Linked DNA regions of Kluyveromyces lactis. Each later gene encodes a partner of the first gene's protein in a complex. Links are inferred from orthologs where the notes say so. Each region holds a gene or a part of one and is shown in the gene's direction. Other genes may lie near its edges.

Region 1 (2,573 bases):
ACAACAACAACAACAACAACAACAGCAGCAGTCAATTAATGGTCAACAAGGAAATAACCATCATTTGTACCCAGATGAGCAGAATGTTCCCTCAAACCCTCATTTTAGGCCAAAACCGGTATCCTTTGATCCAACTGTGCCAAGGGACCACGTAAAAGTATATTCCAGAACCCTTTTCGTTGGTGGTGTCCCACAAAATTTCAAAGAACATGATATTGCAAGAATGTTAAGACAATTCGGTGAGGTTCAGAGTGTTATTTTGAATAATGCCCGTAAGCACGCCTTTGTGAAAGTCTATTCAAGAGCAGAAGCGGAGAGGATCATGGCGCATTTCACTGGTGGTGGCAATCCGACACATGGTTTGAGAATCCGTTGGGCCGTTGGTTTCGGTCCTAGAGACTGTTGTGACTATCAATATGGATATTCAATCATCCCATTGGCCAGGCTAACCGAAATTGACTTCAAATGGTCACAGTCCGCGGAATGGGGTGGTACTGGTGGTCAACCAATCCAAACAAACATGGTTTATGAGGAGCCCGATATTATTGTTGGTGAAGGTGTTTCATCAAAAGCGATTTCGCAAAAGATGCCAACTGATAAAGGTGTTTTGGGTCCCAAGTCTGGTAAAGTTGGTCAAGCTACTGCTGTCTCTCAAACACCTATCCCCTACAGTAATATATCTCCTCCTCCTCCTCCGGTTCAAACATCACAAATACCGAACGTTCCTCAAATCCAACAACAGTATTATAACCAGCCATTGTATCAGCAGCCTCCATCAATGGTATATGGTCAAAATCAACTGCTGGGATCGGCATCATCTGCGCAGCAGCAGCAGCAGCAGCAATCGCATCAGTCTACTCAACCTTCGGGCCAAAAATCTCCTCAACCCCCACAAAATTTCGATCCAACTGCGCAATTAAACACATTGATGAATATTTTGAACCAAACGCCAAAATAATGCTTATATAAATGCACTTAAATAATTTTCTGTATCTGATAGCCTTTATGCATATGCAATTCACTCACTACTTTGTTCTATTAGTGACACCACTTGGAAAGTTATCAAATCCGTATATCGTGATCGATTATTTCATATTGAAAAATTTTGGAATAGTAGGCATGAGAGGATGTTCAAACAATTTGAAAAATTATTGGAACATCAGCATCATGTTGAAATAGTGCCGCTTATCAGAATTGGGAAGCATATTCACCAGCTGTCAATCATCGTGTATATTCAGTCAGCAACCCTCTTCATCGACACAATTATAAATAAAAATGTCTGTGAAAGCAGCAGCAAGCTCGATTCCCAAGGCAGTAAAGGCAGGTTTGGTACTTTCTCGTGTTCCAATCGTCACTCCAGAATTGAATGCACTAGAGAACAAGTACTACCAATACCAGGCAGAACTGGAAAGAAGACTAATGTGGACATTTCCATCTTATTTCTATTTCAAAAAAGGTACTTTGGCAGAGCGTCGTTTCCAGTCTGTACAGAAAGGTGTGATTAGCAAGCAGCCTGGTGTATGGTTCCCTAAAGGAGTGCCAGACGTCAGACATAACAGAGAAAGAAGTCAAAAGCAAGATATTATGCTACCAAGAGAGGCTTCAGAAGGTTCAAACAAGTCTGATGTCTCAAGGCCAATTGTTCCTAATTCCAGAACTACAAAGGCAGACGAAAATAACGATATTACTAGTTTAGACAGAAAATTGGACAGAACTCTGCATTTGCTTGTGAAGGATGACAAGGGAAGCTGGGTTCTTCCAAGTTTCCCGGTTGATATTGAAGCTAAGGAAGGAAAGAAAGCTTTACATGAGACCGCTGAAGTGGGATTAAGAAAAATCGGCGGAGAAGATATTAATACATGGACTGTGTCGAATACTCCAGCAGGTGTTCTACAATCTGAAAAAGATCTCCAGTTTTTGATCAAATCGCATATCATAGCAGGTGAATTCAAGTTAAAGGATGAAAAGTCAATCAAAGAATTTGCATGGTTGACAAAAGATGAAATCAAGAAAGCTGTTGACGAGAGATATTTCAATAGTATACAATATGTTCTTGCTGAGAATTAACATATTATCATCAAACACAGAAAGTATTGGCATGATTTAATCACTATATATATATGTAAACCCTCCTGTAAATACTGCTTCGGATAGAAATTCCAACCCGTATCGAACACTAAAAGATAACAATCATATACATATTGCTGAACTCTGATTGATTTTAAGATTGGAACATTATATACTTGTAAGAATGCTAATTAACTTTTAAATCTATCACCATCTATCATTTGGCTTTCTAAAAGAAGACCCTGTGTTGGAGCGACCAAACGACTTCTCACTGAATTTATCAGCATCTCTCTTGTATGGTTGTTTGCGCAGCTCTTTATCCCTCTTCCCGCGCTGTGGTGTGTCTCTTTGAGTTCTACTGCTCCGATCGGTGCTTTTCTTAACAAAATCATTTCGTTTACGATCATCGGTCGATACCATAGTTTTCGGTCTGCCTGAACGTAAATCAACCATTGTCATTTTATCAAGAGCACCAGTGGTGTAAAATATTAAGCACGACTTTGACC
Region 2 (2,321 bases), on another chromosome or scaffold:
TAAAGTTGGATCCAATGAATGATTTTATTTTTCTGTAGCGAGGTATTGAAGCTTCTGAAAACTGACGTTTTGAAACTTTCTTGTTTAGTGACAGAGAAAATAATTTCAAAAGGTATGTATGGGTAGGGAACCAAGTTTAGCGTTATAATCGTTTTTAATGAGCGTAGTAAAGTTAGGTTGTTGTTCGAGGGTGTTCAATCTTTAATTAATCTGAAGGAAAACTATGTATATTAAGAATTCTTCAATGACATGAAATAAAGGTGCAAGTAAAAGGTATGAAAATGGTAGTAAAAAAGTGCCATTTGCTGCCCTTCTTATATAATACAAATGTTACTTTGGACACGCTAATAAACTCTTAACACCTTATAAGTATTTACCGTTGATGAATTACCAAGTTCCAGTTAATTAGTATGGTATTCTTCTGCTTTTTTCCCTAAATTTTTTTGTCGCATTTTATACTGCATCGTTGAAACGCTTCAGTGAACGCCGTAATAAATTAAAGAAACGGATACAAACCTTGACTGTTCGCTACTTACAAGTGAATGTTTTTTAGGGGTGGTCATCGTTATACGCATCCTTAAAAAAACGCATAGAACTTTAATTTTTCAATAGTTATAGGGACATTATACGCACCATAATGATAAACTGGTGACTATTATGGCAATACATTTGCCTGTTCTTGAACAAAGTGTCATACACTTACATCACACTTAATAGGGAGTGCCCAGTTAATTGGTTTAAATGACGCATGTGCATAATTTTTTTAACAAATTACTAGTGTGCATCCAACATACGCTAGGTGTCAATCCGTACATTCCATGGGTGAACGCAAATCAGGCCCTTTATTTAATTAACCTCATATGAAGCCTTTGGGACATCTTGGATCAGAATCTGGGGCCTCTATCGTACTTTCTATGGATTTGCTCAGTAAAAGTACCCTTAACCAAACGCTGGTAGTGCATTATTGTCATAACCCATCGACAGATCATCAAGTTTACATGACGTATGACATCTCATGAGGATGTGTTGACATAGCAATGTGAAAGAAACAGAATATAGTCGGAAAGAGGTTCTGTATTATTTACATTCGTCACCTTATAGCAGTGTTGGTACCAGTATCTTTTTCATTTGTGTGAGCATGTGGTGAATTGTCCTCCTACCTTCGAATACATACAGATTTGTTCACGTGACTGATGGTCTTTTGAAATTGGAAAAAAATAATCATGAACTGAAAACTCGAATAAAACTCAAAAGATATATTAGTGAATCTATGTTCTGCATCTGAAGGATCTCTCCACAGTTTCAAAATACACCCAACTTGTTTTCTAATCAGAGCTGGTACCCGCGGTCATAAAGATTTCTCTGAAGTAATGGTTGTTAAAGTTTTGAGACAAACTTCTATCGCAAGAAATGGTGTTGGCGCTTTTGTGCTTCCATGTAAAAAGATCACTTTGCAATACTGTAATTGGGGTGGTTCCTCACAGGGTTTGAGAGATTTCCTAACGTCTAACAGAATGATTCAATGGGCTGAAAAATATCCAACAATACAGTTCGAAATAGTAAGAAAGTCTGGCCATCCAGTTATAAAAGGTGACTATGTTAATGGCCGTAATAAAGCCATCTGCGTAAAAAATCTGAACATTGATAATGTAGAGAATAAGTTAAAACTAATCAGAGACGCATCTGGTGAGCAACTCCGTCACAGAACTAAGAACGACAATGTGGATACTTTGAACGATAGTGTGAGAGGTATCTGGTCTCCACTACATTTAAGCCCAGCCATCAGACACAAGGTTTGAATCGAAAAAATGACTTGTGAATGGTAATATCGAGATCATAGCTTAACTTGTACATATATATAGCAATATCCTCGATGAAGCCGATACCTAAGTAAACAACCTACGATGTTGAATATTACTACGCAATTAATAAAAAAGAAGATCTATACTAATTTTTCATTTACTATATTATATGATATTATCGTATATTATATATGCAAAGGGCTCCATTCAAGCTGATGCTTTGTATTCTCTAAGAACCACGGGAACAGAAGATGGTGGCAACGAACCAAATTCTGTAATGATCTTCTTGATGTAGTCAGGGGGTGTTAAATCGTACATTATATTGAAGATGTGCAAATTAGGTGATTTCTCCCACTCTGCTAGTATTGGTTTATCCTTGACATTCTTACCTTCGTCGGCAGTAGCATTATTGGTATTAGCACTGCCAGATTTATTATTTTGCTTAGAGCTATTCTCGACTTCCTTCTGCTGCGCTTCACGCTCTTTGATAAATTGCTGTAATAAGAACCCATTGTTGTT
Region 3 (2,379 bases), on another chromosome or scaffold:
TCGGAGTACAATTATCACCTACAGTTTAATAATGATCTTGACCAACCGCAGCAAGCTACGCATAATCCACAAATGCTTTGGGATGAACCTCACGGCTTTTTTCAATGAGATTTTAGCAGTGGAAAAAAGTCTTTCATTTAGTACAACACGGATACATACAAGCACTGATGCGCTGACGCGATGTTATTGGTGAACACTCCAAAAAAACCAAAAAAAAAGACATTCTTCATTTGTTCTGGTTTTCGTACCAGTCATACGTCTCCATTTGTCAATTATCATTTTATTTTGTTTTCAATTAAACTTGTTTTATATTCATACCTCTTTCTTTACATTCGTTAATAAGGAAACTATAGAATCGTAGCTTTTAAAGATATCCCTATAGAAATAAAATTTTACATATGCTTAAATCAAAGGGAAGAGGATCATCAAACAGAACGGGAATGACTTTGTACCAAAAATCTGTTCTACGAAAAGGTTTGCCTCTTATTCTTTTTATCAGAAGTGAAAATGTGCGAACAATGCAAACAGACGTAGAATAAAACCATACTGGTATCCTTTCTCCGCTGCTGCGACTGGAAAAACACATTCTCCCTAGAATGACACTTCGGGCACTCTTTATCTGAACGCGGTAGTGTCGGGTCAGACCCTATATCTTGCACCACACCTGCAGTCTCACCAATATTCGTCTTCAATTCATGACGGTAAACCAATGGAGTACCTGCCTCTTCAACGTAGGGACACGTACGACATTCGAATAATAATTTATGTGTCTCTTTATCCTCTCTAGGATATAACATATTATTACAATCACGACAAAATCTGAACGTAGTCATTATGATACACTTTTATCTTTTATCAACTATCTATCGTCTGTCTATTCCTCTCTCTTAACAAAATCCGGTTCTTGGAGTATTTCAATCCAGTGAAACCACTAAAAATTAACCGTTTTTCTCTTAAAAACTACAAGTACACAACAATATGTTGCTTTTAAACCACAAAACAAACAACTTTGACCCCACTTAAACCAGAGTCACTTCTTATACACTCTTATTCCTATCAAAACCATGGCTCAAATTCTGGATCCTTTCCTAGTTCTCAATCGAAGCTTTTCAAATGTCGAAAAGTGTTAGCAGCATCTATCACTCCGTACGATTATCATCTGTTAGCTGAAAAATTTTGGGAAAAAAGCTTTAAACCTAAAGACAATTCCATTGAACAATCGAAACAGGTTAAACAGATTGTGGAGTTGTACTGTTGACATTCACGATTAGTTCTCCATCTTGAATCTAACCGAGAACAGCAGTTTTTATCACAGGTGGGTTTGGGAATAATATAAAAGAAAAAATGTTGCGTCAAGTGGTAAGATCATCCGGCGTTTTTGCAAGGAACAGTTGTAGATTAGGTTTGGTTCGTTATCAATCGACTGCTGGTACATCTACTCCAGCTGCTGCGGTTGATCCAAAGATTTCTCAAATCGTTCAAGATATCTCCAAATTGACTTTATTGGAAACTTCTGCTTTGATTCAAGAATTGAAGACTCAATTGAACATCCCAGATATTTCGTTCCCAGCAGCTGGTGCTGGTTCAGCTGCCCCAGCTGCTCCAGCTGAAGAAGCCAAGGAAGAAGAAGTCGTTGAAGAGAAGACTATTTTCTCCATCAAGTTAGAATCGTTTGATGCCAAGTCTAAGCCTAAGATCATCAAAGAAGTTAAGAACTTGTTAGGTTTGTCATTGGTTGAAGCTAAGAAGTTTGTGGAAAGTGCTCCAAAGGTTTTGAAGGAAAACGTCGCTAAGGAAGACGCTGACAAGGTTAAGGCTGCATTGGAAGGGCTAGGTGCCAAGATTGTCTTGGAATAGACAGATACGTCGAACACCTCACGCATGTAAATTCCCCATGTCAAAACGAGTTCTCTTCTCATTTTCCTGTACATAATAATAACCAAAAATATATTAATATAAACTCTTAAGATTAAGATATATATATATAAACGCAATCCGACCGACATAACAAAGTAAAAAGAAGAGGTAGTTTCACGAACGATCCGTTCAAAAATGAATCGATTATGAGTTATGTTTTTCTTTGAAGATTTCGTTAGAAATCTAAAAAGTATTGGCCGTATGGATCTTCGCCCTGAACGCCATAGTCCAGTTGCTCTTCCGGATATTGGTCGAACAAAGAGGAATCACCGACACCGACAGCGATTGGTGGCTCGTACGGCGTCTCGATGTCCTTTGCCACAAGCTTTTCCCATATAACTTCCGCAAACCATGGATGCGATTTGATATCATCTGGCCCGCTTTGTAAGTTACCTAATCTACGGGTCAAATCTGCAGTGATCAACTTACCTAATAGATCCACAACATCAGGGTGGAAAAATG

What was found. Proteins that work in one complex are often made in the same cells at the same time.
Region 2: MRPL17 (region 1) and MRPL51 share a complex: the UniProt entries of both Saccharomyces cerevisiae proteins name them as parts of the mitochondrial large ribosomal subunit. The link is inferred for Kluyveromyces lactis from reciprocal best matches to the Saccharomyces cerevisiae genes MRPL17 and MRPL51.
Region 3: MRPL17 (region 1) and MNP1 share a complex: the UniProt entries of both Saccharomyces cerevisiae proteins name them as parts of the mitochondrial large ribosomal subunit. The link is inferred for Kluyveromyces lactis from reciprocal best matches to the Saccharomyces cerevisiae genes MRPL17 and MNP1.

The regions. Positions count from the first base shown.
Region 1 is NC_006039.1:256,987-259,559, reverse strand, and holds MRPL17 (mitochondrial 54S ribosomal protein mL46), read left to right. Parts: upstream 1-1,275; coding exon 1,276-2,067; downstream 2,068-2,573. Other genes in the region: Nrd1 complex RNA-binding subunit, read left to right, coding at 1-958; TEX1 (Tex1p), read right to left, coding at 2,275-2,573. UniProt on the Saccharomyces cerevisiae protein: Component of the mitochondrial ribosome (mitoribosome), a dedicated translation machinery responsible for the synthesis of mitochondrial genome-encoded proteins, including at least some of the essential transmembrane subunits of the mitochondrial respiratory chain.
Region 2 is NC_006042.1:776,622-778,942, reverse strand, and holds MRPL51 (mitochondrial 54S ribosomal protein mL43), read left to right. Parts: upstream 1-1,370; coding exon 1,371-1,799; downstream 1,800-2,321. Other genes in the region: GCD2 (translation initiation factor eIF2B subunit delta), read right to left, coding at 2,010-2,321. UniProt on the Saccharomyces cerevisiae protein: Component of the mitochondrial ribosome (mitoribosome), a dedicated translation machinery responsible for the synthesis of mitochondrial genome-encoded proteins, including at least some of the essential transmembrane subunits of the mitochondrial respiratory chain.
Region 3 is NC_006040.1:268,765-271,143, reverse strand, and holds MNP1 (mitochondrial 54S ribosomal protein bL12m), read left to right. Parts: upstream 1-1,344; coding exon 1,345-1,857; downstream 1,858-2,379. Other genes in the region: KLLA0_D03256g (uncharacterized protein), read left to right, coding at 1-108; DNA-directed RNA polymerase II core subunit RPB9, read right to left, coding at 465-833; cAMP-dependent protein kinase catalytic subunit TPK2, read right to left, coding at 2,093-2,379. UniProt on the Saccharomyces cerevisiae protein: Component of the mitochondrial ribosome (mitoribosome), a dedicated translation machinery responsible for the synthesis of mitochondrial genome-encoded proteins, including at least some of the essential transmembrane subunits of the mitochondrial respiratory chain.